Tamandua tetradactyla: one gene and its partners. The protein of the gene in region 3 interacts with the protein of the main gene of each other region in a pairwise test. Links are inferred from orthologs where the notes say so. Each region holds a gene or a part of one and is shown on either strand. Other genes may lie near its edges.

Region 1 (7,598 bases), on a different chromosome or scaffold from region 3:
ATTAAGAACAGAAAAATAAAACAAAGTCTTTCCTCAATAATTGTTTTATGTTGGTTAAAGGCTGATATTCAGATATAGTGAGGAAAATAAAATATACGATTAATATTAATTTCACATGTTTCTTTTTAAAATGTGGTTACTAGAAAATCTTTAATCATATATGTGCCTTGCATTATATTTCTATTGGGTAGCACTGCTCTAGACTATCTAGTCTCTGACCCTTTTGAATAACTTTTACTACTCTCCCCCCATGCCCACAATGTCTCAGCCACATTGGCCATCATCTTTTTATTCCTTAAACATGTTAAGCTTCTTTTTGCTTGGGCTCTTTGCATTCGCTGGTCCTTCTGCCCAGAATATTGTCCCTCTGGCTCTTCACTCGTTGGAACTCAACTCCAATGTTCCCTCCTCATGCGACTGTGTCTCTAAACATGTTATCTAAAATAGTCCTTGTCCACTCTCCCACCTCCCAACCTCTATTATTCTCTATCAATTATTATTATTATTATTATTGCATTTGGAACATTTCCCATCATTTTAAATATCTTATTTACTTAAATATCTCATTGTCTTTCTGCTAGAATATAATTTCCAAAGGCCAATGACATTGCCTTGATTATCATAGCAACTCTAAATGAGTAAATTAAAAATACATTTTAATTTTTATTTTAAAATAAGGAAATAGAGGTTTAGAGGTTTAAGGAATTTATCAAAGATCACAAAGAGAGTAAGGGAGGGCCAAAGCTCAAACCTAATTTCTATGACTGTAAATCCAAGTGTTTTTTTCCCCCTAAACTACATTGCCTTGTTCCGAAATTTAAAGTGACATTTGTGAATGCATTTCAAAAAATTGTAAAATCATATACAAATGTAAAGTATCATAAAACCCTTTTTCACTGTTTTAAGAAACAAATGTTTTTTTAATGGATAATTGCATAGGTTATAATGAGTGCTCATTGCAGCCCATTGATGCTGTGCTTCAGCATCAACATCCATCTTCCAAACCCAGGGCTATGTAAAATATTGTGACAAATTACCATTTTAAACATGCGATGTCCTTCAGTTTACATTTGCAGATTTCAGTGAAATAACATCCTCCAATGAAATCCACTGCACTGGAGAGGAAAAAGTGTAGAAATACACAAATGTACTTTTGATTGTGATTTTTACACAAGTTTTGTAGACCTAAAAAGCTGAGACTTGCATAGCCATAGCATATTTTGTAAGAGTCAGTTAATATTTGTGAGCTTACCATAAATAGCTGATAAAATTTCCATTTAAAAAATCTTGTGTGTTTATTAATTCACACATATTTAAAGCAAGTTAATCCACCACTGTAACTCCTACAAAGGAGAACGGATAATAGGAAAGACCTCATTCACCTATCTGAGCTCTTTTTATGAATGCCTTATTACTTACCAAAGTTATTGCAAAGATGAGTGGGTTAATTTCTTAAGTGTATGAAAGACTGTTATTAAAATGAAAAAACACTAGAAAATAAATCACAGAAACCTTGCAATAGTAAGTTTTATATTTACTGTCTAGTGTTTTCTTTTTTGCCGTACATATGCAAGCACAAAATTTTAACTCATTCATTTCTGCAATAGGGAAGAGCCTTCGGCTTTGCTGTTAGGCATGACAACACTTCACTTAAACCAATTCAAACCAGGACTTCAAGGGAGGAAGAGTAAACAGTTTTAACTGGGTATATTTTAAAGATTAAAAAAATTCTTATGAAATTCATTTTAAAAATGTGGTTATTAGCTTGCTTCTCTTGGTTTTGCATGTAAAAACTTGAACTGTCCACCTATATTTTGGCTAATTATCCTTTTATGTTAATGATAAAGTTTCAATAAAAAGTTAAATCTTGAATATCACGTAGAGCACATATGTATATGTTGACTATGGAAAGAGAAACTACCTTTTAGAGTTGGAAAAAGGTACATTTGAGCAAATTCTTATGGACTCTACCCTAAAAAAGTGGTTGAAAAAGAATTTTAAAAGAGTTTAATTATGTGCAACGTATTTAAAATAGGTTTTAAGGGAGCAAGGGTTAAGGGCTAATTTTCTCTTTCATTCCATAAAATCTGTCTCCCATTCTTCTCAGAAAAAGTTTGGAAAAGAATACTGAAATAGATGGACATGGATCTGATTCAGCAAGCTAATTGTAGATAATGATAGAAAACACTGGTTTCTGGTGTGAAATATTATGGATTAAGAAAAACCAAAAAACTTAAATGGCCTCTCTTCTCCAACAGCCCAGAAAACCGTGCCTGAATTTCCCTAGAGAACAGGTCATGGACTTGCTCCAGAGAGATAGGGTGGCTGGGCAGGGCACCGCGCCAGATCCAACCCAAGGGATATGTGGTCACATGACTATAATTGACCTAGAAGCATTACATCAGGATTGGCCACTTTGGCCAAACCACAGACTTTGTCCAGACAGTCTGCCCACTTAGTTATACACCAAGGGGTTATCAGACGGTTGGGACTAGCTGGAACACCAAAATGATAACCTCCTTGTTGACTCCCAGAGGTCCAAGCCGTACACTTTTCCCACTTAAAGGCTACCGTTGCCCGCCACTAGCATGACTTACTTGGTAGGAGGAATGTCTGTAGAGAAAAGGTCTATTTCAGTATCAGCCAGCAAAACAGCCTTCATTCCCCTAGAGCTGAGCACTTGTTTACAAAATTTGCAACACACGATGGACACACACCGGTCCTTGAAACTACAGCTGTTGGTTGACATGGCGTCTCAGGAAGGATGAGGTGGGGGATTTTGAAAAGTAAACAAGAGCAGTACCCTGCCTGGTTTGGTTCCCTTAGGCTGAAGATCAAGTTATGAGGCTTCCAGCTTTTCTAAGCCCTAAAATTGAGAAGGAAATGCGTTCTTTTCTGTTTTCCCGGTGAGAGGGTAAAGGTAATTATTTATTGAGTAGATGCAGGGAAGAAGCAGCAAATTTGGCTTTCCTTTCAACTTTATGGAAAGGGAGTAGAGTTTGAAGTGGGGAGGAGGCAAGCTGCAAAGGGCTTCGGGACCTTCTTTACAGCTTTTCTTTTCCTCTATCAGAACAGATCCTTTCCTCCCTAGCGCCCGCCGCTTCGGCAATTCCCTTAGCTTCCCTAGTAATACCTTTCCTTCAAAAATCTTCCCTTTTAAGACGTCCCCTTTCCCAGCATGAAGCTCCTCCCTTGGAGCACTCCAATTCCTCTCTCGAATCGTGGTTTAAGCGTCCCTACCCACGCCTCTTCTTTGGAAATCTTTCTCTTCTTCCCAAGATTCAGAAGTCCCCTCAGCTTTTCCCACCGGTACGATCCTTGGTTCTCAATCCTCCCTTTCTCTCCCGTGAACCTCCTCCGCTCTGCTCGTTCGCAGGCCCCTCGCTTTACTTCTCTCCTGGCAGCCCCCAGCGTGCTCGCCCTCGCGCCGTGGCTCTCGCGTACTCCCTCTCCGCCCCTCTCCCTTAGTGACCCCCGCCGTCCCCGCAGCTCTCCCCCGGAGCGGCCGCTCGATGCGCGCGGTGATGGTGGTGGGGCGGGCTGGGGTCACTTTGAGGGGTCTCAGTCGGCGTTGTGGGCTCGGTCACCCAGCACGGCGTTTTTTGCTCCCTCTTCCGCTTTCTCTGCCTTTCCAACCGGCTGTCAGTTTGAATTACCAACGCCGCGCCCAGATTGGGAGAACTCAAGTTCGCCCACGTTGCGTATTGGAAGGTTCTGGGGCCTTCCCCTGTTGAGATCTTAGTGGCCTGGAGACCGGCCGCCCCGCCCCAGTAACGGTGCCGAGATTAGTTCGGCTCTGTGGTTGGTCGAGCTTGGCCCCTCCTCTGGTCTCATTGGCTAGCTGCGGAGCTTTGGGCAAATCCCTACTCCCGCCATAGTGAAGCTGACAAGGCACGCCCTTCGCGCTTCTTATTGGAAGACGTTCTACATTCCCCTCCGGTCTCTACTCTCCGTTGGCTAAAATTCTCCGCAACGCACCACCTCTCTTACCCGGTCCAATTGGTGGTGCCTTCTCTCAGGAGTTTGTGTTTGGCTGTTGGTTCCATCTTAATCCCTCCCATCGATTCTCCTCTTGGGTTCGACAACCCGAGGAGGAGCTTATTCTGTGACCACGCCTCGGTAATACTAGTCACACCTCCAAGTTTCTCCAGCCCTTCCTCTTCATTCCTGGCCTCCTCGGGATCAGCTATTCCTATTGGCTAATGTCCCCATCGATCGGTAGAAAACGGGCGGTGATTGGCGAGGGGGTGGGTTCTGCTTCCCGGCGGGGTCCTGCGGAGTTGGCGGAGTCTCCGCTGGGGAGTAGGTGGCCGAGCTGCGTAGAAGCGGGTGGCGGGGAAGAGAGGGGTGGAGAGCTGAGTGGGAACCGGAGCCGGGGGCCTGGGACCCGTCGCGTCAGAGCCAGGTAAAGGCTCCTTCCCTCTAACATTTCTTCTTCCAGTCCGCCGAGCAGGAGTCTTGACTGAACAAATCCGGTTAGAGGCGGGAAGGAGAGGGCGCTGATGCCGCTTGCGGCATTGCCTTAGTGGTGCCGCCCGGAATCCCTTAGATTCCCGCCCCCCACCCCCCGCCCTCCCAGACCCTCTCCAAATCTCCCAGTACAGCCCATAATACTTCTCAGGGCTGCGTCTCTCTTCGCCTTTCACCGCACAGCCTGGGACTCTGCCCTTGCTCACATGCCGCAGCGCCGCGCGCAGCCGGTTCTCTCCCCAGTTCCTCCACCTTAGTCTACGTTTTCGTCAGTCGTCGTTGATCCCCGTGGCCATCAGCTTCCTTGGTCTCCAAGTCGTGACCCAGCCTAGGACCCAGGATGTGTGTTCTGCACTGCTTCCGGGGATCTTCCCCTGGCCCAGCTCCCCGGCTCGCGGCTGTATCTACTCCCATCGCCAGATCCACATCGCGGTCCCCAAAGTTGCTAATATCCTTGTGTTTCATGTAGTGTCACAGTCCAACACCCCCCACCCCAACCTGATCCTTCTCTTGCCTCTCTCTGCCTTCAAAGCGTTTTCAGATATGCTCCAGTCATTCCCGGGCCTCAGGACCCCATCTCACCCTCCCCCGCCCCAACCCAGTTTCCTGCCCGCCTGATCCACGCCGCCTCTGATCCCTCTCTTCCTCTCTCCGTGCAGCCCTTCCTCCGCCGCGGGACGAGGGGGACACTAGCTGGTTGTCTTCTCCTCGCGGAAAGGGAAAGGGACGAGGAAGGAGGGAGGGTCGCCGCCGCGGCGCGTCGTGGAGTGAGACGCCAAGGTCTGCGCTCGCGGCGGGTTCCCTCCTGCCTCCCCCCGGCCTTCGCTAGGGCGGGATATCCTCCCGCATCTCCTATGTCGGGGAGTCGGGACTTCGACCCTCAGCCCCAGAGTACACACACGCACACACACACTGTACACACGCACACACACTCATGCACTGCTTGGGATTGGGTGCGTATCTGAGTTTTCGGGGCACGGATGATACTGGAGGGGTGGCATTTAGAGTCACTCTCCTCCCTGGCTGGGGGAGGCCACGGCTGCCTTCCGCCCCCGGGTTTTCCCGGCTCTGACCCTCGCCTCTAACCGGTTTCCTGCTTCTGCCGACCACATTGTTTTCCTGGATGTGTCCCGTGCCGAGTAGGCTTTTTCCTGCAGATTCTTCCCCTCCCCCGCCCCCCCAATATTTTGCTGCCAGGGGAAGCTAGTAACCAAAAACAAAACAACTGGGAGGAGGAACGGGAGGGAAAAGAAGTTGTGTTTCGGTGGCTCGTTGCTTGCGGGCTTTGATCCCTCCTTTGAAGTCCCGGGGGTTGTCCCAGCCGGGGGTCTGGGACCGCGTCAGAGGCAAGGCCGGGAGGGCCCCCTCGGGCTGGCCTCTGCCCAGCGCTGGCGGGGGCCGGAGGCCAGGCGGCAGCCGAGGTGCCGCAGTCCCCGCCCGGAGCCCGGTGTTCCCGTCGCAGTCCCTGCCTGAAGCTTGCCTAGGCGGCTGCTCCAGAGTGTTTTCTTTCAGCCTTAAAACAAAATCCGGAGGGAGCTTCCTTCCTCCTTTCTCAGCTGCACGGGGCTCAGCGGGCCAGGCGGCGTTTGGCCGCTATGAATGGGCCCAGACCGGGCTCGGAAGGACGTCCCCTACCCCACCCCCGCCGCGATTAGAATCTGTGCTCGGGCTTATCGCCCCCCTCCCCCTTTTCCTGCATTTACAGGCAAGTGAACCAGAGCAAACGACTTCCGATCCAGTCCTCGCTACTGCGGCTCCCGTTTGGGATTTGATTTGCAGCATCTACGAGCCTGTGCAACAAAAAACCGCGAAGCACGCCCAACCCTCCCTCGGCACCCCAATACGCACCCACTGTCTCTCTCGGGGACACAGCTGGGCGCGTCCACACCCCCGCAACCCCACACCATGTTGTTGTGCGGAAGGACTTCCACTCCCCGCCTGTGTCGTTGATGTCAGACCCCAGGCCAGCCTCCGGGCGCTGCAGTTCTCCCGGCTAATGCTGAGGCTGCGTCGCGGGCTCTAGCACAGGAATCGGCAGGCGCCGCGCCCGGCCCCAGCACCCACCGTCTGCATGTGCCCGCCGTAACCGTTTGCCCAGTCCGCAGCCCGCGCTCTCCCCGGAGCGCTGGAGACCACCGCGGGGGCCCCTTCTGCCTTCGGCAAAAGCGGTCCTGAAGGTATTGATTTTGGTGGTTGGCTTTTTCTCTTGGATCTATCAATTCACAATTCGAATTTGGAAGAAAGAAGGAAAACATGACGTCTCCAGCCAAATTCAAAAAGGATAAGGAGATCATAGCAGAGTACGATACTCAGGTCAAAGGTAAGGACTTTGAAAAATAGCATAATGCATGTGCTGTATGGACCTGTGAGGCATGTATTTCCATCCTGACTTGCAGACTCTTTGGGTGGAGCAGGTGGGGTGAGGCCGACCCCAGAGGTGGTTTCATAAGTGGTTGGGAATCACCAGTGCCAGGAGCTAAGGGACGTTTTTGGAGTGGGCTTCAGATTTGTCTTTTTGAGGCTGCCTGGGCCATTATTATGGCAGCCCTTTCCCCCAGGCTGTACCAGGTGGGGGGAGGGGCCGGAGGTTCTTAGCTGGAGAAGGCTGCAGTTTGCCTCAGGATGTCTGGGCCAGGTTTCCTTGAAGGACATCTGAAATCTGACAGGTGTTTGGAAATTTCTGTATCCGAGGTTGAAGAAGAGTCCAGGCAGGGAAAGGCAGCCTTGAGAAGGTGTACCATTTGAGAGCCCTGGGAGAGGTGGGGACTGTTGCTGATGCGCTCTATCAAAATATGAGATTTGCTGTGGCATTGGTCACAGAAAGTCCATAGCTACCTTTGGTGTGCACCTCATACCTACCTGGTCCCTGGTTGCCTAGCAGACAGTCAGAGAACAGACAGAATAAGGTCACCCACACCTGGTCTCCAGTCTCCAGCCTCATTTAAATCTGAATGGAGTTGGGTTGTTAGGGTGGCCAGTTGGTGGTGATTCTGGAAAATGGGAAGACGTAATTGTTTAACCCTTGTGTGTTATTGCTGTCTATCTCAGAATACATGCCTTTAAAGCCCTATTTTCTTCCCTGCAAAAAAAAAAAAAAAAATGTGAAGGTAAGGCAAAATGTGGACCTG
Region 2 (7,748 bases), on a different chromosome or scaffold from region 3:
TAGGGAAAAGCAATTCAAAACCACAGTGTTATACCCACTAGAATGACAACTAAAAACATGGAAAGTTACAAGTCTTGGAGAAGTTATGGAGTAATAGGAACACTCCTTCATTGTTGGTAGAAATTTATGTTTCTACCAACAATGTGGAGGACAGTGTGGCAATTCCTCTGAAAGTTAACCAAAGAATTACCATATGACCTAGCAATCTCACATCTAGGTATATATCCAAAAGATTTGAAAATGGGAACTTGAACATATATTTGCACACCAATGTTCACAGTGCCGTTATTCACAATTGCCAAAAGTTGGAAGCGACTCAAGTGCCTATCAACAGATGAATAAACAAAATGTGGAACACAATTACAGTAGAATATTATTCAGTTGTAAAAAGGAACGAAATTCTGATACATGCAATAACATGGATGAACTCTGAAGATATCATGTTGAGTGAAAGAAGCCAGATATAAAAGAACAAATATTTTATGATCTCACTAATATGAAATAATTAGAATAAGCAAATTTATAGAGTCAGAAACTAGAATCCAGGTTAACAGGCACCAGGGTGGGAATATGGAAAGAGGAGTTACAACTTAATTTCAGAAAGTGCAGAATTTCTGTTTAGGATGTTGGAAAATTTTTGGTAATGGATTGTGGGAAACTGCTTATGGCACCGGCAGTGTGCCGGCCATCTTGTGGCCTGATGCCATCTTAGGTACTAACTCAAGTTAAGTTTCTATTTCCTCACTTCTGCTCTACCTTTCCCCGAAATCAGTGGACCTGCCTTGGCTGATCAGCCTTTCCCAGCTTGGTCCCTGCTGATTGGTTGCTTAACTGCAGGGTAATGCCCAACCTCTGCTGACGTCCGCTACAAGTCACCTCCCCTTTCTTGCTGCATAAATACCCTGGATTCGCCTTCAATAAACGAGACTTGATCAGAATCCTGTCTTGTCTCCATTCTCTGTGTCTTTTGTCCCCCGTTCTACCTCCCTCCCTCAGGTCCAGGTTCGTCTGTCCCGCGGGTCGGGTCAATTGATGGCGTTCATGTAGAACAATATTGTGAATGTGATTGACACCACTGAATTACACATTTGAATGTAGGTAAAAGAGGAAATTGTTGTTTGTATATGTTACCAGAATAAAAACTTTTTAAAAACATAGGCTTGACAACACAGTGACTCCTGATGTAAACTATAGATTTGTTAATAGTATAATTACAATAATATTCTTTCATTAATTGTAATAAGGGAGCCACACTAATACAAATTGTTAATAACAGGAGGCATATATGGAAACTATATTTTCTGTATGATTTTTCTGTAAACCTACAAGATCGCTAAAAAAAAAAATCATACATATAATCAAGATAGAATTGTAAACAAGAACAAGAGGTCAATTACACTAAACTCCTTGAGAGCAAAGTGCGTATCTTGTTCACTAGTGTAGCATCTAGGAAAAGATCTGGTATGTAGAAGATACTCAGATTAATTGATGAATAAATGAAGACAGATATAATCCCAGCCCCAGGATATGATACCCATAGAACTGGCCCCCTCACCAGTTCAACCATCATGATAGAACTCATATTAGATTTGAGCAGGGACATATGCTCATATCCTAATAAAAGCCTAGAGAGAAAATATTCCTCCCTGCAGGTTCCAGTATGAATAACTCTTGGGAAGGATAAAAGACCCCGATTGGCCCAATTGAGGTCATGTGCCCATTCTTGTTTCCAAGCTGGGTAAGAAACCTAACCCTGTGGCCTGGAGGGTCGGTTCTGTACCAGAAGGAGGAGAATTTGCTATGGAACAGGAAAAACAACAACAACAAAAAAGTTAGGCTACCTAACAAGTGTATATCTCTTTAGAGTTTACAAAATGTTCCTACAGAATTTATGCCTTGTGAATCTCACAACTACTATATGAAGATGGATGGCAGGACAAGTATTAATAAAGAACTGGTGGATTAAAGATGCTTGCAAATTCCCTGTCACTCTGTTGGGAGATGAAATTTATTTACCCTTCACTTGAACCTGAGCTAGCTCTATGATACTTAAACAAAATGTGGCAAAATTTACTACCACTACTTCTCCACCTCACCTTTAAAAGGACTTACAACTTCCATTTGTTCTGGGAATGCTCACTGTTAGGATACTCTCTTTGAATCCAGCTACCATGTAGTGTAAAGTCCAAGGCACATGAAGAGTACTTTGGTCAACCGTCCTAGCTGAGCTCTCAGCTGACATCCAGCTCAACTGCCAATTGTATGAGTGAAACATCTGTACATTCCAGCACAATCAAACTCCCAGATGTCTCCAAGTTCCAGCCAATATCACATGGAAAACAACCACCCAGTTGAGGTCACTCAACCTAGCACACTATAAAAGATAATCAATGGTTGTTATTTTAAGCCTTTTCATTGTGGGGTGGTTCGGTTTACAATAGATAACCAAAACAGAAATAAGGTTTAAGGGGTTTGACTTAGGCTAGAAAGTATCAGAGCTGGGATGTTAAGCCAGATGTTTGGACCTAAGCCCACTGCGCTTTTTTCTTTTTTTTTAATTCCTTACCTCTTTTCAAAAACAGAAACAGCCTTGACTCAAAATGTCCAATTGAAGAATTTCAGCCACAGGATGTAGGCTGGGGAAAAAGTGCATATCATTCACTCATTCGACAAATACTTGAGAAACTCTATGTGCAAGGCAACTGAACAAAATGCATTTCCTCATTTCAAGAAATTCAGAATCTAGTGCAAAAAGACAGCTCCATAAAACAGCTCATTTTAATATGGACAGGTGTCATGATGGGTAATGTGCAGGGTGCTTTTGGAACGGATGGTAGGCACTAAACCTAGTCCAAAACATCAAATGATGGGCACATCTTCTGATGGGTGTGGAGGGTATCTCTGAACCTATGTTGAGGGTGTTGGAATGTATAAAAAGAACTACTCATGAAGATAAATATGACACTGTGGTAGAATGCTCACCTGCCATGTGGGAGACTCAGGTTCAATTCCCAGTCCATGCACGCATACACACACACAAAGATAAATATGAGAGGAGATTGGAGAAGGGAGAGGTAGAGAGGAGGAATCCTACTATTTGGGGTGGAGAAACGAATTTCAGTGCTAGTTCTACCCTTTACTTACATATGTTCTTTACCAAGTCACAGAACCTATCTGTGACTCAGCTTCCTGGATTGTAAACCAAAATGGGTTCACAGCTTTTCTTCTTCAAGCACTTGGCTGATCTTTCCTCCAACTCCTTCTCTTTAACTTTTGTACTTAGCTCATTGCTCTTCCCACTCCGAGAATTCTCCCTAAGTGATCTCATCCACTCCTAGAGTTTTGGTTATTACTCATATGGCATTGGAACCCAAATTTAGCCCAGTTCTTTCTGCAGGCTGTCTTCCAGTGTATTATCAGTTTGCTGGATATCACTGACTATTCCACAGGCACATCAAGTTTCTCATGTCCAGAGCTGAGTTCATCACTTTGCCCACTTAAATAACTCCCACTCGTGCTGATTTCTCCCTCAGCCCATGGATCATCATAGCAACTCAACTAGTGGCCCGTGAGGCTAACTTTACTCTTCCTTTTTCCTTAACTTCACATGCAATTATTTGTCAAGCACTGCTAATTTTGCATCCAAAATATTTCTGGATTACATCTTTTTGTCTAGACAGCCCATAGGAGAGCAAATTCAAATTATTTAAAGCTTAAATCATTACTTCCTCTCCCCAAACCTCCTCTACCTTGCCACCCACTCATCTACAATCTGGAACTTGGGCATCACCCTTTATTTCGCCCTCTTTTTCTCCTCCCATAACCAAGTAACCATCAGTTCCTGATGTTTGGCCTTCTTTTTTGCCTCTTAAATCTACCCTCTTCTCTCAATCTTACCCACTTCTCTCCATTCTCATTACTATCATCTTTAATTTCTAGGATAAATAATATCCTAATTGATTTTCCTGTCTTTCAATTTTTAGTCTTCAACCTTTAATCTCTTCTCTGCAGCCCAGACAGAATCTAATCAGGTCAGCAACCCCTACAGCACCCTTACCCCTACCCCTAATTTCTGGTATGCTTAACTCCCTAGACTGCATTTTGGTGGGACAGGGGCCATGATTCAGTCTACCCTTGTACCTCCTCACCTAGCACCTAGAGTACCTGGCACAAAATAGGTATTCGGTACATGAACCTGTGCTCACCTCTTGATTACAGGTTCGTAGCAGATAGATCCTTGACCCGTTTTAGTTGTCTCGAACCTCTGGAGTCACTGAGTAACATATGATTCATTTTTGAGAGCTAGAGTCTTTACATGAAAGCTATCAGAAACTAACTGTTGTATAATAGTACCAATAAATTATATATCAGTATATAGAAAGATGCATATTTTAAGGCATCTTCGTGATGGAGTTTTTAGACTAAAATCAATCTCAAGATTCTGGGCAAATAACTTCACCTTTCGGTATGTCTGTCTCCTAATCTGTAAAATAGGCATACTGAAAGCAATGAAGAAAAACTTCAAAGTCGCTGTAACCTGTGAGAAACCACGGACCTTAGAATGACCGGCCCGTGCATGTGCGCGTGCGCGAGGAGAGGGGCTTTACCTCAGCGCGGCCCTCCCGGCAGCCCCAGGGGGAGGCGAGGCCAGGCTGATTTCCGCGGTTTGTTCCCGCCATTGGTGGGCGGTTTGAATGACGGAAGTGACGATGGCACAGCTATGGCTGCCCCGTAGGCGCACGAACGGTTGTTTTGAACCTGAGTGGCGGTGGCTGTCCGGGCAGTCTAGGATACGGCTTTTGGCCCTGGCTCCAGATTTTCAGGTAAGTGACATATCGGCTCCCCGTGAACCTGGATGTGCATGACTCCCTGAGCCTCACGAATTAGGAGTGTGCTTAGAATGAAAGGGATTCCGTGCCGCGTCGCGAACGCAGCATGGCCGGCACATCTCAGACTTAGTCAGACCTTCGATTCTCGATGGGGTTTGACTGGCAGAAGTAAGGAGCGCCCAGTCAGGAGATGCGTCCCGACCCAGGCCTGCCAGCTTCATGCGAGAGGCTGATCCAGGGTCTTTTGCTCTTGTGGCTTTGAGCGCCTTTGCCGGGTGGGGTCGCGCGGGTTCTTAGTCCCGGGCAGCCGGGAGGGCCGCCGCCGCCGCCACTGCTGGAAGCACTTCTGGACGCGTCCTGCCTCACATTACCCGTGAATATTGGCTGGAATCGTTCTATGCAGAAAGTACACTCTTCTGGTGTGGCACCGTTAATTTCCCAGGATTTAATAATCCTGCCACGAACTGAGGTTTTTAAACAATAACCAACTTTTGAATCTTTGATACTTAGAATGTATATGGCAGTTTCACCTTCATTAAGTCACATAATCATCCGAACTGTTGGGGTAGATATAATTATCCCCATCATACAAGGTTAAGAAACTGAAATTCAAAGAGACTGACGTAGTCGGTGTCTTCAGCTAGTAAGTGGCAGTGATGGGTCTAAACCCAAATCTTCCCGAGTCTGTTATTAATTGAATGATTATATTGCCCCTTACGTATGCCACAGCATTTGATCTTCAGGACAAAATCGTAGATAAGGAGAAATATCTCCGTTTTTGATGTGCTTCTTGGGATTATAGTGAATAGTCAGGATTGGAGCTAATATGTTTCTGCCTCCACAACTCGAGCATATTTCACTGTTTTTCAATGCCAATTTCCTGTTGTAGAGAGAGCACACTACTATGAGCTCATTAGGTTAAGGATTTGCAAAGCAACAGGAAATCTCTGCTTTTAAAAGTGTGTTTTAGGAGAAAACACTTGTTTAGGTTTGAGAAAATCAGAATTCTGCTGATAATACCTTCTGTCACCTGGGACAGCTTTTTTTTAAAGTACTTATAGTGTGTTGCTGAATTTTTTGTAGATGGGTAAATACTAGTACCTGCTAATTTATACTTATACTACCTATAATACCTGTTTGGTTTGTAAAAATAGTTCTTCACCAGGATTGTTATGAGTAAGAGTGGTTTACATACATTTTTATAAGAGTTGCTTTCAATATTAAGGTAACAGTTATTGGGTAGTAATTATACATAGAATTTTTTAAATCCATGTATCCATATTGATATGAATAAGTAATTAAATTAATTGGGGTAACAGGAAAAGTTCTTCTTTATAGTAGAATTCTAATTGATGAGTGTAGAAGCAATAATAAAAATAGAAAATAACCATTTGATAAACTCCACAGTAATTGTTTAGACACTAAAATTAATGGACAAAAGAATAATGAGAAATGGAAAATTTGCATAGCCTCAAAGTATCTCTCCAACAGATAGTTATAACTCACAAGGGAAAAGTAGTAACTTTACAGAGAAGAAACCTCGTAGAGTCAGCGTTAACCAAGTGATCAAAATTTCATATGATCCTTAGTAATGGTGCATCAAGATCCTTCTCCTGATGTGATGCACAGAGAAGGGCACATCATCACTTTTGTGCTATTCTTGCCAAAAATTCACAACCTCAACCTAATTATAAGAAAACATCAGACAAAATCAGATTGAAGTGAATTCAACAAAATAACCCGCCAGGATTTTTCCAGAATTAGAAGAGACAAAGGAGACATGACAACCTTGCAGCTTCTTCTCGTAGAGAAGAAGCAACTCACACCTTCAGCCTTAGGAATGTAATTGACCAAGGGCTCCAGCACTCTAAAATCTATTTGCATGGAGGCTACTGTTTCCATGGGCTGTCCCCAGCTAGTAATTGAAGATGGCAGGGATACTAGGGCAGTGCTTTACTTTCAAGGCAATGAACTTTCGCTGGAGGATTTCTCAGAGGCCTTTCTCAAATTTCCTTACATTGCAAGACAGTTTGAGAGTCATCTACTCAATCTTCCCTCCTTTGCTCAGTATCAGTATTGCATTAAAGTCTTATATTCCAGCCTTAATCAGCTCCCTCCCATTTTCCCTCACACAGACATTTTCTCTAATAAAATCTAATCACCTGCGGTTTAATCCTGTCTTGGCATTTGCTTTCTGGAGGACCCTGACCAACACAATAACCAAGTACAATATGTATCCTTACGTTGGATCTTGGTCTAACTCTGAAATTATTTCCAAATGATAGGTTAAGGAAAAAATATATACATACACATGCACATACACACGCAGTAATAGAATAACTAAAGAAAACGGTTATTCTATTACATTTAGGAACTAAAAATAACAAATGTATATTGTTTCCCTCTAATCCTTTGGCAAAAGAAAATGATGATTAATACTCAGAACAATCTGAAAATTCAAGGTTGTTTCTTTTTTCTTTTTGTTGAGGTATAATCTAGACAGAATAAAACACACAAGTCTAAGTGTTGATGAATTTTTACATATGCATGCATCTCTGTGACCATTACGTTGATCAAGATTCAGAAAATTTCCAGCACCCTACCAGGCTTCTTTGTATCCCTCTATCCATCAGTAACCAGAAAGGTAACCCCTATCTAACCTCTTATCATGGATTAGTTTTGCTTGTTTTTGAACTTCATATAAATGGAATTTTACAATATGATCTCTTTTGTGTCTGATTTCTTTCATGCAGTGATATCTATGAGATTCAGTAGGAATTCATTTTAATAGTTGAATATGAGTGGATTTTTAGAGACCTTCCAACAAGTTAATAAAGGCACATAGTGAAGACAATTCAGTCTTGCTCATTTTGTTTTTTCTTTTTTTTCTGTTCTCTAATCCCTACACAAAAAAATACC
Region 3 (8,218 bases):
TGAACTGACAGCTGATAACAGGGGGCCCAAATCGTACTCTAGCTGAAATGGAAGCTTATGGAGGACAGGTTTACAAAAGGCCTTTTGGCGCAAGTTAGTCTGACGGTAGGTCCACTGGATCTGAAGTTCCACCTCTATGTTTATTTTCCTTATAGATTTCCCTTAGGTATTCCCTAAACTGCAGATTATGAGCATTTTAAAATAAAGGGCCAAGTGGAAGCTGTTGCTCAAGATACTAAATCAGAAGTAAAAATGTATCCTGGTAGGAATGATAGAGATTAGCACCATTTTATAACCCCACTCATTTTTATCTATTTGACCACTACAAAACTCAGATGGGTTGTGGAGAATGATGGGGAACTACCATAATCTTAACTAAGTGATAGCCTATAGAAATGTAGAAGAGATCAACAAATCTTTTGATTTGCAGCTCTTGGTTTGGTGAATGCACTCTTGTCAATTCCTAAAGGTAAAGAGATTCAGAAACAGTTCATTTTACAATAGTACACATTCACGGTATTTCACCAGGACTATGTTAACTTTGCTCTTGGCCACAATAGAGGTGTTGGGGACCTTAATCACTTTAACATGCTTCAGAATATCATGCTGGGCTCCTACACTGATTGGTCTCATTGAGTAGGAAGTGACAAGTACTCTAGATGCTAGAAGGTAAGAAATAAACTTCATGGAGATTCAGGACCTGATCATCAGTGAAACTTTTAGAGGCCACCCCCCTTTAAAATAACAGACAAGTTATTGCCCTTTGCACCTACTACAACTAAGAAAGAAGTACAGGATTAATGAGCCTCTTTGCATTTAGCATATAGCACACTTAGGAATATTGCTCTAACCCATTTATCAGGTGCCAGTTTCAAGTGTGGCCCAGAGCAAGAAAGGACACTGCAGTAGGCTCAGTCTGTGGTACACGTTGCCCTAGTGCTCAGGCCATTTATCACATTTGTCTGATGATGATAGACGGATCAGTGGTAGATAAGAGTGCCATGTGAAATCTGTGGGAAGCCCACTTTAAGAGTTGCAGGACAGGTAACTAGTATTTTCAAGGCCATATCTTCTCAGGCAGAGAGCTATCTAACATGAGCTGGATATAATCAAACCCACCAAGTCACAAGTCCATGGGGATAGCAAAAATCTACTGAAATATGATACTGAATAGGCTTGAACCTGAGCACATCCAGAAAACTCAAGCAAATTACATGAATGGGTCATTCTGACTCCCAGGGCATTTATTCCTGTATCACTGATGTCTCCTGCTCAACCATCTCACAACTATGGCTTCCTGGAAGTTCTCTATGACTGTAAGAATTTGAGAGTTTTGCCGTGCAAAGGAGGACTCCAAGAGACGTTCTCTCATGCAACACGCAAGGGGTTTATTTACCACACATGCGTGGGGCTCACTGAACACGCAGGGACAGAGAGCCCCGAACCTGGGTTTTGGGAAGCCTTTTGAGGGCCAGGATAAGGGTGTGGGGTTTGAGGGTTGAACATTAGTTACAGGTTCTGCTTTATGCAGGAAGTAGATAACGAACATTTTGCGAGAAGCAGATAACAAACATTTTTCGCGCATGAGTCATGGGAGCTGCTTCTTGCAAGAAGCAGCTGTCTCATGCAAAACTCCCTTACTCAACCTTCTCAGTTGCATTCTTAGATAAACTTTCTCCGGCAGTTACAACCTTGCATAACCAAGGCAGCAGAAAACCTTGCATAACAAAGGCAGCAGATAACCTTGCATAACAAAGGCAGCAGATAACCGCCCCTGGGAAGTCCCGGGTTGTTTTAGCCTGATGGGGCCCATAACTCTTTTCTTTATAAAATCCTTCTTTACATAAGAAAAGTTAGCTACTGTTAAGTTTTATAAAATCCTTCTTTACATGACCATTTAATGAAAATGAAAAAATTCGAGCCTGGTCCAAAAAATGAGTTGTCCCGTTATGTTGGTGAGTAGCTAACATTGGAGTTCTAAGGCCCCACTCAGGCATAAATTTAAAGAACAATGGTGAAGGGGAGTTTCCAAGATGACAGAGTTGGGAGCAGTGTACTTCATGATTTACTCTATATAGAAGAAGAAGAGGCCTGCGGTAAACATATTTAAAAACTCCTGAGTTTGTCTTTCTTGCCTGCATCCACTGCCAGCATCCACAATCACAGGAATTATAGCAATTCTTATCAACATTACTTGCGACCAAAAAATAAGAAAGGGAAAGTGTGACAAGACATACATAACCACAAAATCCACTGATAACGCCATATCATTAATCACCCAGAAGCAGCCAGCCTCATAAAATGATGGAATGACCCATTACAGCCTTAGCTAATGTGCTTGCTTGGGATCACACCTTGTGGATTGAGGTATTGTCCCACAGGATTTGGTAAATGCACTGAATTAACCAAATTAGTGTTCCAATAGCTAGAAGGCGTGACTGCAGAAACTCAGGCTAAGTGATCCTATTATCACTCCCAGTGACCCACCAACAGAATTTGTGTTTCCTGCCCCTCAAATTTAGACTTCGCTAGGTCAGAATAAATGGTTCCCTCTGGGATTCAGGTTTCCATCTGGATACACAGTATGGATTTCACTGGACTTGAAACTCTCACTATTACTTGGTTACTTTGGTCTTTTCATGGCAGTGAACAAGGTGCAAAGAAAGGAGTTGGTTACTGTACTAGTAGGAGTACCCAGCTGTGATTAGTAAAGGAGCTAGAATTGTTGCTATATTCTATACAATAGCAGCAGGGATGAACATATCTGTAATCTAAGGAATTCATTAGAATGTATCTTAGTGTTTCTGTGCCCAGGGATACGTTGAACAGGCCAACTGCAGTAACTATGCCCCAACCAGTGCAAGGAAAATAAGGTCTAGGCTATTTTACTAGGGAAGTAACCTAGATTAGACGATGTGCTACCCAAGGGTGAGGGAAAGTTAGATGGGTAGTAGAAGACAGAGTTAATGAATGCAAATATGGTCTGGGCATCAGTGTAGAGCAAGGACTGAAGACTATCCACTAACTTTCTTGTATTAAATCCCTTGTATTTTCTTGTATTAAATTAAATTGCAGCTGCAATCTCTGCAACCTTGAAGGAGTGTCTATGAAGGACAGAATTTAAAGAAGGGCACAAGCAGATCTGAGTGGTTCAAGAAGTGAACTGAAATGGACACCTGTGAACTACTTCAAACCCCCTTATCCTCTTTTGCTAACCACTGCTGCAGCAAACTGCTCTAAGTAGGGTTTGATCAACCTTCGGCAAGTCCAACATGGCAACTGCTCTCCTCTCACTTCCCGATTCCTGTGAGGTGGGAGCCAGTTTGGCATTAACAATTGTGTAATTTGGAAGTACTGAATAGTTATTATCCTGGGGGCATTAACCTTTGATCAAAGGGGACAGGAGCCAACAGATAAATGCTTTCTCCATTCTTCTCCTCAGTGGACAGTTTTGAGATTCATTGCATAGCACTTTTCAGAAGATCTTAGGGAATAGAAAATAATAGTGGCTAACTCAATAACATATGCTTATGTTGACTTTCCCTCCTCCTTCCCTTTTTTTTTTTTTTTTTTTGCTCCCTGGGTTCATAATCCCAAGTAAACTATTGGCACATAAACCTTGTTTATGCCTTTATTTGGGGGGAATTTAGGAGGGGAGGGAATAGAAAAGAATTTCGTTTTTGGATGCATTAAGTTTCAGACACCTATTGGACACGCATGTGGAAATGCTGGGGAGACAATTAGATCTACAAACGTGGAGTTCAGGGAAAAAGCTCAAGGTATGTAAATACATTTGGAATACAATTTATTTCTCAATTTTGAGGAGGGCTGTAAACATGCAAATAAATAGGGACAGAGAGGGTCTTTATAGAGAAATAAAGCCTAGATAGAGATCATGCTTTTGAAAGGGGAGTCAATCCATGAAAATGAAGTCTTCGAAAGCAGTGTGACTGGAACATTATGATTTCCACAGCAAACAGACCACCTATTTATGATGCTTTTCCCACTGAATTTTATCTTCAGACAAACACTGAAAGATACTTTGCACAGCTTATTTGTCACTTTCTCAGTAAATCTATCCCTGACAGAGTGAGTTACTCCCTCTTGTACATTCTCAGGGTGCACAAACTTTTTCTACCTCTGTTGTCAGATTTATTTCATTAAACTGTAATTTATCCGTCTATTTAATTCTTCCTCCCCGGTGAGAGTGTGCCTCCTCTTCGGTGACTTTCCTGTCTTTGTATCTTCAACAGCTAACACTGGCACAAAATTAGCCCTGGTTGTTTGTTCAGTTAATGAATTATGAATGGATCCTTGCAGTCCCTTGGGAAAGACTGTCAAACAGGAGGAAATAAATCGCCCCTTTTAACTTCCAGCACGCTTATCTAGCCCGGAGCTCTCTTCTGTCACTTATTTTTGTATCCTATTTTATATTTATTTGTATCTACACCTTGACTAATCTAACGCACTGTGAATTTTTTTAGGATAGGCTACACATCTGAATCACCTCTGGAATCAAAGTACCCGAAAATAAAACACTTGCCAGGGCTATGGAATCAATGAATCATCTGCCTTGAGAACAGCAACACTGGCATCACCTGTGCTTCTAAAAGTTAAATGTTGGGATGCAGATTCAATATTATCTTCACCGGGCTGGAGAGGCTGTATTTTCTAAAATGCTCCCAAGTAGTGCCCATGAAACTGGCCCGTGGAGCACATTTTTGAATATCGAGATCACTAGAGCAATGTTTAGCGATTTCAATTACATACTAAAGTCATCTGGGAAGCTGTCAGATGTACTGCTGTCTGGGTCCGAACCCGAAGATTCCGATTTAACTCGTTCTCCATGCTTTGCGTAGCAAGGGTCTAGAGTTAATCGAGCTTCACAAATGCAAAACAAAAAAACCCACACACATTTAATCGGACTCTTTTGAAGGGAATTGCTGCAAATATGTGAATAAATAAATGTTCCAGAGAAAGTAAATATCGCGCAGCACCCAATCACAGATCAGCCTGCGCGCCAAAAGGCCTCGCCCCGCCCCTGCCCTTCCTGACACGCCCTTCTGGCAGCGCCAGGTCCCGCCTCTCTACGTCTTTCGGGTGGTGCCGCTCCCCGTCGCGTCATTGGCCACTCCCCTTTTCCCACCGCCTCTCCTTCCTTCTCTACGGGGCCCACTTCCGGTTCTGAGGTTTGTCACGTGTCCGGATATGGGAAGTGGTAGTAGAACCACAGTTTCCCGTTCACTGCTTAACTGAGGGGCGCTTCCCGTAGCAGTCATCGCCTCAGTCCCACCCCTTCTCCGTCTTGGAGGACCCGCCTGGGTGCAGGCGGGCTTGGGCCGGTCCTGCGGTAAGCCTTCGGCCGCGGCTGCCTAGTAGACCCTGCGGCGGTGGGCAGGCGAGCGGGCGGGCTTCAGGGTCTGAGGTGGCATCTCAGTCCGCTACTGGCTCGGCGACCCGGGTCGGAGCATAGCTCCATCAGCTGCCAGGTCCTCTTTTCCTTTCCCACCTCTCTGGGTAGGACGCTGGGTCCGGCCAAGACTCCCCTTCTTGCTCTCTGGGGCCTAGGAGAATATGTAGCAGGGGCGGCAGTCCTCGCACATCCTTTTCCGGATCTGCCTTTTAGGAACCAGACTTCATTTGTGCAAAACGGCCCTAATCGTACGTGCTTTGGCGTGGACCAGGAAAGGGAGGTGTAACAGTCTTCCACTTTTTAGTCAAAACCCACATTTTCTTCTAAAATATCTTGAGTACAATTCTCTGACTCCGTACGCTTTTGTTTGTTCTGGGTGACAGTGCGCCACGAGCTAAAATGTTTCAACAGCGTACGGGATCCAATCCACGGACACTCACTGACAAGCTGTCACACAGACAAATTCACCACAGAGAGTAAATCCACCGCAGAGTGAGCGTTGGACTACTGCCTGTGGAACGTTGTCAGACATAGACCTGGGAAATAATTTTGGAGGACTTTAAGTGATTTACTCACTGATTTACAGGAGAGTACATAAGTCTGGAGAGCTTATCATTTGATCCTTAGAATATAAATGCCATGAAGGGATATATCTTCTTGAATGTCTGTCATGTTCACTACTGTAACCTGGCCCCTAGTAAGCATCAATATTTGCTGAACAAATGAGGGGTCTTTTCATTATGCCTAACTCCTTTATGAGGTATGCCCAATCCGCTCTTGTTTTACCACCTACCATACATTTCAGTTACTGCTTTTGACCTGAGAGGGACTGTGTTGTAAATGTTGGCCACCATTAGTCCATTTATTTGACCAGTGTGTACTATTCAGTTCATGTTATCTCAAGAGGTGTTTCATGAGTACCTACCATAAACCCAAACTTTGACAGAGCATTTTGCTCACTCTCTCCCCCACACCCCCTCCCTTTTTTACAGTTAGTTCTTGAGATCCAGGAATTTATGATCTCAGAACCAATTAGTCACCAAGCGCCTGCTTGTTTAATAAATGTAGTAAATGCTATAGACATTGAGAGGGGAGATCAATTTGTACCTAAGATCTTGACTTCACATAAACTATAAAAGTAATTAGAGTTTGGTTAGGGAGGCGATAACATTCCCTGCATGGAAAAGCACCTGAGCAAAAATTTAAAGCCTGGAATGAACAGAGTGCTTGAGTAGAATATTCATCTTTGGAACATTAGGAAACTATTGAGCAAGGGTGTGGTGTGATGAAAGCTATGTTTTAAGATTATTTATTTATGAGAAACTTGGGGATTGTGGAAGCTTGCGAAGATATAACTGTATGCTGTACTATTAAATAGACATAGGTAATGTGAACCTAATTTACTGTAGTGGCAGTGGGAAAAGAAAGGAAGGAATAAATTACTGGTACAGGAGGAAAGCAACAATATGTGGTAAAAGATTTGATGTTGACAATGGAGAAGGGAATGAAATATGACTGAGGTTTTGAACCTGGACAGTTGCTTGCAGATGTGCGACTTGAACTTTGGGAGAGCTGTAGTTATGTTATTTGGTGTTTTTTTAAAAATATTTATAATATGTATATTATGTGCAGTGTGCCAGTTCTAGGAATACAAAGATGAATAAGACATGATCCTTGCCTACAAAGAGCTACTCAAGAATACAGCTAGCTAGAAAATACTGTTGGCAAGTCCAGTGTTCACAGAGTAAAAAGAAAATTTTAGAGAAGTAGAAGTGGAATTATTATTTTGTGACTACTTCACACAAGAGGTGCCATTTTACTGGTATCTTAAAAGAGATGGGGTAGAATTCCAAAGGAGAAAAGAATTCCAGGAAAAGGAAATTACATGAGCAAAAAGCTCAGAGATAGAAACCTAAACTGGCTAGTGTTCAATGTGGCTTGGATATAGGACGGACTAGAGCTTTTAACACTTTATCTAAGCCCTACAGCATGTTAAGTATTTAGTAATAGATGGAAAAGAGGTTAGGATGGGTGAATATGTAGAGAAATGCAGAAGAAAGCAATTGGGGAGAATTGTACGTCATGTTCTCTATATTTTCTGCAGAGTAGGTGATGAAGTCATTTGCAGAGAATGAGGAACCTGACACTAGAGTTGGGAGCTGAAGGAAGAGTAATAAAGATTTGCGACAACAGAGATGGTGAATGGGAAAAGCAAGCAACAAATAACATATTAAATGTTAGAGAATTGTTGAGCAACATTGAAAGTCTGACTGGCTGGATTTAGATATTTGTAGTGTATTCAGAGAACTTAGGTATGTGCTTTTTTTTAAGTGACTATAGAGACAGTTTAAGGAGATTGGTAAAACATAAAGGATCAGTTGGTCAACCAACAGGGTAAGATTATTGAATAATTTAGTGTGAATATAGGAAAAGGAGCACTGCTTCCAGGCTAGGTGGGAAAAGAAATTCAGCTGAAAGAGAACAGGTAAGCTAAGATTAGAGGAAAGAGGGAGTCATAAAAGATGAAGGAGGCAGGAGAATGATTTTTTTTGAGAAAGCAATTTTTGGAGTTGGAGCAAAGATAGAAGCTTCACAGATTGAGTAAAATATAGGAGATCTACTTTACAGAAATATCAGTTGTGTTTTAAAAACTTGTTGCAACTCATTTGACATTCATAATTTCTTCATTTTTCCATAGAAACAGTGTTATAAAGAGAATTTAATTTTCTAGGCAAACTCAACACATAAAATACTTTATACTTAGGATTGAAAAATAGCAATATACTTACACACAAATATATATGT
Region 4 (7,648 bases), on a different chromosome or scaffold from region 3:
TTAGCAGAATGAACTGCAAGTTTCCAACCCTGTTTTTTTTAATTAATGTATATCCACTTTAGCTCATTATTTCTATTTTGTCTCCATCGAGACTCAGCAACTTTCCAAAGAAAACATAACAATAGACTGACCCCTATACATGAAGAATAGATTTCTTGAAGGAAGAGGTAAGGGAAAAAGTGCACAAGTGGAAGGCAGTGCCAAGAAAGTGAGAAGAGCTAAATATACTTCTGACACAATCTGTCAACTATGACAGAAAAATTTCAGACAGCTACATATGAATGAAATGTTAGTTAATCTACAATAGTTTCACGTGTTTTTTTTTTCTTTCTTGTCAGTCTTTAGCTGATTAGCAATGTGGTACCAAAAAGACTTTCAAGACAAATGTTTGGAGACCCTGCTTACTCTGAGTTATGGAGCAGATTTTCTGAGAGTCTAACCATCTTATATATTTCTAGTACACAAGACAGAGATTCATCAAGACTGTAACATAAAAGATATAAGAAAAAACCAACCTTTGATTGTAAATCATATAATTCTGATTAAGGAAATTACTCAAAAGTAGACTGTATGTGGCATGCAGGGATAACCAAATATCCTATTTATCTGTAGGTCCTACTGCAGGGCTGCAAACTGTAAACATTTTTATAAAAATCACCTCAAGTATTAAACCTTGTTCTTAATCTTTTACATTAATCCTCAAGTTCGTAGGATAAGATATTTTCTAAATTGACTTCACAATAAAGATATCAGTCACTATATTATCTTGTCCACAATACAAGAATATTTGTTATAGCTGGTCTACAAGAGTACAAAATAAAAACGTAAACAAGAATTTCTATCAGCCATTTGCAAAAGGTTAGGTTAATTAACATACATAAAAGTAGTTAAAACCGTTTCATTGCCACAATATAAAACATAACACCAAATGAAGAATGAAATCAAGCAAACAACAGGTTTATTTATATTTGTTGAATATGAGCTGGTGGCTTTACTCAGAAACAAATTTCAAAATAATGTTTCTGTTTTACCCAGTGCCAATTTTAAGCAAACAGGGAAAAGTAAACATACTAAAAGACAGGGGCATGTGATCACTTCAAATATATCTTAAAAGTAATCATTCGTTTTATCTTTGCAATTTCAAACACCCTTTAAACTGTTTTCAACTCAAACATCAGCGTGATATTCAGATAGCAGTAACAAGTGAAAGCTCAAAGTAGCAAACCTTCCAATAAATTTTAGAGAAGAACCTTTACCAAATGCATATAATTGGCATGGGCATAAGTGGCATAATGTAGGAGAATATGGACAGTAAAATTCATATACGAGCAGCTAAGGAACAAGATTTTTCTATAGGGTCACTGTATGTAAACTGCGTACACAGACCTACTTTAAATTTACACAATCCATTATAGTTTTTGTTTTGCAAAATTTTTAATAGATAGCAAGATCTTCACAATGATCTTTTAGAGTGCAAAGATGTCTATCCTATCTTTTAATATGGTTCAATACTACCTGAAAATAAATTTAATAATTCTAATTATATCACCAAAATCCAGTAAAGAATTATACAGTTACATATCTTACAAAAGTGTATCCTAATCTGTAGAGTTGACTACAGAAATATATTATTTTTAGACAGGTTAAAAAACCAGACAGGTCACTGCTGTTCGTATAAGACTTGTTTCCCTTGGGAAACAGAAAGACAATCAAATGAAGTCGAAATGAAAGACGAAAAAAAAATGAAAAATGACTGCAGGAGTCCAAGAATCTCTGGAAAATGGGCCTAAACGGTGAGTTTACACTTTGGCAGATAAATCTAATAATTCGGAAGATACATTCAAAATAATAACCCATTCCAAATTCTTGTCATTTGGAAGATACACTCAGTTCAATTAAGTGCAAATTTAAGAAGGGAACTTCCCAGAATCTTTGAAGATTCAACAAGACAGTTAAAACTTGATACAAATGCTTTTTTTTTTTTTACAAATGGTTTTAATTAGACATTAGGAAATCAATTTCCTTTATTAGACAAGTCACTGTTCTGTTCTGTTCCAAATTCTAGGAACCACGAAACATTCTTGGACTCCAGCTCCCAACACTAGTCACACATACGACCCGCAGTATCTACCTGCACTTGCCAGACTGTTACCAAAATTGAATGGAGGCGCCGAGGTAGTAGAAACACCGAAATTCCCAATATTAAAGTTCACTGCAGGATTAGCAGTTAGTCCGAAACCCCCAAAATTAAACCCACTGGCGGCGGAGTTGGCAGTCTCAAGCCCACCAAATCCTGATAGGCGTGAAGGCAAAGAAACAAAGAAAACAATTTTTAAGGAGAAAGAAGAAAAAAAAAAAGGAAAAGATAAGAATTAGAAGAATCAGCAGGTTTCAGAGAAGTGAACAGAAACAAACCTGACTGCTCCAAATGAGTTAAGAAAGCACAGGAAGTGGGGAAGAGCAGGAGCAGCAGCGTGAAGACCCGTAGGAAGGACCAAGGACCAAAGGGCTCGCAGCGTAGGCACCTGCCTGTTCCGAACTGATACAGAGGGAGCCGCAGGGCAGCGTCCGGAGCTACCCAAACCTAGCTTCATCCAGTTCGGCTGCGGGAGCCACGAGAGCTTTCCCGCCTGTCCCAGAAGCTAGGATAGGGAGGGGAAGGCGGGTCTCAAGCAAGGGGAGAGGGGAGTCTCACGGAACGGGACTCCCCGGCGGCGGCGGGAAGCGCACCTTGGAAAGACAGGGCCCTGGGGAGACCCACGCACGGAGCACGAGCTGCGGGTTGGACCTCTAGCCCCTCGGCGGCCTCCTCAGGAGCCGCCTCCGCCCCTCCACTGCCGCCCGCCCTTTTCCGGATGCCCCCAAATTTCTCGCGGGCGGGAGACCGCAGGATCCCCCAGGCCCGAGGAGGGGCAAGAGGGCCCGAAGGCTTCCTCGCCTCCCCAGGAGAAGGTCGGAAGGGACCACTCACCCGCGGGAGCCGCGGGGGCTGCAGAGGTGCCCGAAGTGCCCGAAGGAGCTCCAAAGTTAAAGGCCATGTCGCGGGAGTCAAAGCCCAAAGCACTCTTCCCGGGACCCTCCGTGCGCACGGTTTTTCGGTCCGGCTGGGAAACCGCCGTACAACTCACAGAGTTCCGCCTCCTTTTTGGCCCAGCCTTAGAGGCGGGATGCGCGAAGGGCGCAGGGGTGGAGGGTCGATAGGAAACGCCCCTAGTTCGGCTAGAGGCTTTGTGGCTTCACACCCGGCGGGTCCACGTGACAAAGGTAACGCGTGGGGAAGCTCGCGGGAGCGTACCCACTGTTGACCCTGTCTTAAAGACGTTTTTTGAAAAAGGCATGCAACAGGCTGAAGTTGTTACCGTTGAGATATGCGGCGGGCTTCTTAGAATACGCGTGTTTGGTGGTAGGGGTCGAAGATGTCCTGTCAAAGAGCGGTCCTAAGAGGACCTGGGTTGGGGTCGGGAAGGCCCCCTCTGAGGAAGTGGTGTTTGAACCCAGTCTAGAAGAATGATTAGAAGAAACAGAGGTAGGAAAGAAATGGTATGTTGAGAGAACTTAAAGATAATGGAAATAGTAGCAAACACTTCGTTGTGTTTACTCGTTAGGCACAGATTCTAACCATTTTACATACTTTAATTTAATTTAATCCTCAACTGCCCTGTGAGATAGGTTATTATTACCCCATTTTCGGGAGGAAGAAATAGACACAGAGGGACAGGCTGGATCCAGAATCTGTGCTCTTAACCTCTAAGCTGTAAAGAGAACACTGAAGTGAGGGGCAGAGTGGCCCTCTGTGAGGCACCTGCACCATCTAAGTACTTAAATCTGTGCCGTTGCGTTCTACTTGAAATAGTATTTAGTCCTCATATTATTAACGTGATTTCTCTGTTATTAACGTAATTTCACAGGAAATGGGAGGACCGGGGTTTAAAGTTGCTAAGTAGCTTGGCTAAGGTCGACTTGTTGGTGAATTCTAGCCTAGGTAGTTGTTTTTGGTTTTTTTTTTTTTAATTTTTTTTTATTGTACAATATAGCATATATACAAACCAAAGAGAGAAAAAGGCAATAGTTTTTAAAGCACTCTTCAGCAAGTAGTTATAGGACAGATTCCAGAGTTTGTCATGGGCTACTATACCATCGTCTAAGAGTTTTCCTTCCAGCTGTTACAGAATATAAGAGGCTAGAAGGAATAAATGTTTTTTTATCATCACAATCAACTTTTTTTTTCTTTTTTGTGAAAAAAATATATACAGAAACAATTTCAAACCACAGTACAATTAGTTGTAGAACAGGTTTCAGACTTTGGTATGGATTACAATTTCACAATTTTAGGATTTTACTTATAGCTACTCTAAGATACTGAAGACTAAAAGAAATATCAACTTAGTGATTCAGCAGTCATATAACTTGTTAAACCCTACCTTCTCTATATAACTCCACCATCACCTTTGATCTTTCTATCCCAATCTTTAAGGGTGTTTGGGCTTTGGCCATTCTAACTTTTTCATGTTGAAAGGGGCTGTCAAGAAAGAAAGATAGAGGTGCCAAGATGGCAGCTTAGCAAGGTACGGGGTTTAGTTCTTCCTCCAGAACAGCTAGTAAGTAGCCAGGAACACTACAAAACAACTGCTGGGGCCACTTCAGTGACCAGACACACAGCGTACCCCAGTCTGGACCAGCTGGACCAGTTGCAAGCCCCCCCAGAACCGTGAGTCCCCCAAGCTGCAGTGGTCGGCACCCCTCCCCAACAGGCTGCTTCCTAGGGGTGAACAAAAGGAACGTTACTTTGCAGCAGAGGCTGAGCTCAACCAAACTCCAGTTGCTGAATTAATTCACAAATTCTGACTACTAAAAATAGGGCCCTAGCTCAGGTGAACCTCCTCAAAATGGAGGTTGCTGATTTTTGCCCTGGCTCTGAGGGGGCAGGGGTGACTGAAAAAGGAAAAAAGAAACAGAGGTTTTTTGGATCGGATAGCATATAATACTTGAAGGGGTCTGGGCCCTGAAGGAAAGGAGGGGGCACATAGAATCTGAAGGTACACAGTCAACATACCAACTTATGCTCTTGATTGGCAAACCCAAGAAATGGGGATCCTGCTCTGAGAAGGATTTTTCTCTTTCTTTTTTGGGGGCTATGTTCTACAAAGACTTGACTGCCTTTGGATACAGCAGCAGGGCTTCTCAGGCTGCAACAGCCCCAGGCATAGGCATAAACAAGCTTGTTTTAGAGCTTGTCTGGAGCCTGTGCCTTCCCTAGGAGAGGGGAGGGGCCTAGCTCAGGTGGATTCCCTCCCTGAAAGAATTCAGACCCCAGGGGGTTGGAAATTTGAGGTGATTAAAGCCATCCTACAACCTCTCCACTGTCTCTGCCATGCCCCCAGCAGGGAGAATCTCCTGAAGTTAAAGGTACCACATCACCTTATGCTGGTGGGACCTGCAGGCAGACAAGCACCACATACTGGGCAACATAGGAAAAACACAGAGTCCAGAAACTTCATGGGAAAGTCTTTCAACCTGCTAGGTCTCACCCTCAGGGAAAATCGAAGCAGGTGACTCTTTCCTCCTGATAGGAGGCCAGTTTGGTCTGGGAAAATCTGGCTTGGGTCTATTATACCTAAGTAGACCCTCCTAAGATGTGGGGTGGGCGGGGAAGGCACCATACAGGCAGGGCAAGAAACAAGAAAACAAGAACTGAAAAATTCTCCTCTGTTGAACAAAACCTAAGCTAGAGGTCCAGAATAAGCTGAACTGAATGTCAAAGAACAGATAGACAACAAATTCATCCAGCAAGAAAATCCTAGGTAAAAGAAGTGAAAGCAATCTCCAAAATAAACTAATTAAGGTAATTAAATGCCTAGATGCCAGCAAAAAAAATAACGAATCACACAAGGAAAATTAAAGATATGGCCCAGTCAAAGGAACAAACCAACAATTCAAATGAGATACAGGAGTTGAAATAATTAATTCAGAATGTTCAAACAGACGTGGAAAACCTCATCAAACATCAAATCAATGAATGCTCAACTTCCCTGGCTATTAGGGAAGTGCAAATCAAAATCACAATGAGATGGGCGGGCCATGGTGGCTCAGTGGCAGAATTTCCGCCTGCCATGCTGGAGACCCGGGTTTGATTCCCGATGCCTGCCCATACAAAAAAAAAAGCTATAATGAGATATTATCTCACACCTACCAGAATGGCCATTATCAGTAAAACAAAATGACAAGTGCTGGAGAGGATGTGGAGAAAGAGGCACACTTATCCACTTTTGGTGGCATGTCAAATGGTACAAATGCTGTGGAAGGCAGTCTGGCGGTTCCTCAGGAAGGTAAGTATGGAATTGCCATATGACCCAGAAATACCATTGCTAAGTATCTACTCAGAGGACATGAGGGCAAGGACACAAATGGACATTTGCACGCCAATGTTTATAGCAGCATTGTTTACAATTGCAAAGAGACAGAAACAGCCAAAATGTTCATCAACGGGCAAGTGGCTAAACAAGCTGTGGTATATACATACGATGAATATTATGCAGCTTTAAGACAGAATAAAGTTATGAAGTATGTAACAACATGAATGGACCTTAAGGACATTATGCTGAGTGAAATTAGCCAGAAACAAAAGGACAAATACTATATGTTCTCACTGATATGGACTGACATTAGTGAATGAACTTGGAGAATTTCAGTTGGTAACAGAGACCATCAGAAGATAGAAATAGGGTAAGATATTGGGTAATTGAAGGTGAATGGATACAGATTGTGCAACATGACTGATTGTAAAAACTCAGAAATGGATAGTACAGTACTACCTAACTGTAATACAATTATGTTAGAACACTGAATGAAGCTGAATGTGAGAATAATAGAGGGAAGAGGGCTGGGGGCACAAATGAAATCAGAAAGAAAGATAGACAATAAAGACAGATGGTATAATCTAGGAATGCCTTGAGTATATAATGATAGTGGCTAAATATACAAATTTAACAATATTTCTGCATGAGGAAGAACAAAGGAATGTCATTACTGCTGGGAGTTGAAAATAGATGGTAATTAATATTTTAAAATATAATTTAAGTGAGACTAAAGCAAAAAATATATATTTGGTACAAAATTTATATTTTGACTAGTGCATTTCCTATTATAACTTATGTAGATAGCTTGATTGAACACCATAAATACTTGGAATCTTGGGTAGGGCATGAGATTTTGTTGGTTTGTCCAGAGTGATGCCCCGATGAATCCCAGAGTGATTTGATCAGTGAGTGGAAAAATATTTGCATCGGGGAGTGGTGAGAAGGGGAGAAATTCAACTTCCCCAAGTTGAATTCTTGATATTCTCACAAGCAGTGTGGACAACCAAAGCTATAGACTGACCCCCCAGTCTTGGGATTTGTTCATATGAAACTTAACCCCACAAAGGATAGGTCAAGTCTACTTAAAATCTAGGCCTAAGAGTCACCCCCAAGAGAGCCTCTTTTGTTGCTCAGATGTGGCCTCTCTCTCCAGCCAACACAACAAGCAAACTCTCCACCCTCTCCCTCTCTACGTGGGACGTGACTCCCAGGAGTGTGGGCCTTCCTGGCGACGTGGGACAGAAATCCTAGAATGAGCTGAGACTCAGCATCAAGGGATTGAGAAAACCTTC

Evidence for each region.
Region 1: the proteins of EXOC1 (region 3) and SRGAP2 interact in a two-hybrid assay, tested with the Homo sapiens proteins (2 studies listed by BioGRID and IntAct). The link is inferred for Tamandua tetradactyla from reciprocal best matches to the Homo sapiens genes EXOC1 and SRGAP2.
Region 2: the proteins of EXOC1 (region 3) and CEP295 interact in a two-hybrid assay, tested with the Homo sapiens proteins (2 studies listed by BioGRID and IntAct). The link is inferred for Tamandua tetradactyla from reciprocal best matches to the Homo sapiens genes EXOC1 and CEP295.
Region 4: the proteins of EXOC1 (region 3) and NUP54 interact in binary tests that used the Homo sapiens proteins (3 or more experiments, as listed by UniProt). The link is inferred for Tamandua tetradactyla from reciprocal best matches to the Homo sapiens genes EXOC1 and NUP54.

What each region holds. Positions count from the first base shown.
Region 1 is NC_135330.1:63,929,314-63,936,911, forward strand, and holds the start of SRGAP2 (SLIT-ROBO Rho GTPase-activating protein 2), read left to right. Parts: upstream 1-4,195; 5' UTR 4,196-4,405; intron 4,406-6,175; 5' UTR 6,176-6,723; coding exon 6,724-6,790; intron 6,791-7,598. Other genes in the region: protein FAM72A, read right to left, coding at 1,038-1,115, 2,598-2,749. UniProt on the Homo sapiens protein: Postsynaptic RAC1 GTPase activating protein (GAP) that plays a key role in neuronal morphogenesis and migration mainly during development of the cerebral cortex. Regulates excitatory and inhibitory synapse maturation and density in cortical pyramidal neurons.
Region 2 is NC_135334.1:49,396,183-49,403,930, reverse strand, and holds the start of CEP295 (centrosomal protein of 295 kDa), read left to right. Parts: upstream 1-4,678; 5' UTR 4,679-4,823; intron 4,824-7,317; 5' UTR 7,318-7,358; coding exon 7,359-7,473; intron 7,474-7,748. UniProt on the Homo sapiens protein: Centriole-enriched microtubule-binding protein involved in centriole biogenesis.
Region 3 is NC_135345.1:56,284,696-56,292,913, forward strand, and holds the start of EXOC1 (exocyst complex component 1), read left to right. Parts: upstream 1-5,160; 5' UTR 5,161-5,350; intron 5,351-8,218.
Region 4 is NC_135350.1:52,982,443-52,990,090, reverse strand, and holds the start of NUP54 (nucleoporin p54), read right to left. Parts: upstream 3,206-7,648; 5' UTR 3,039-3,205; coding exon 2,972-3,038; intron 1-2,971. UniProt on the Homo sapiens protein: Component of the nuclear pore complex, a complex required for the trafficking across the nuclear membrane.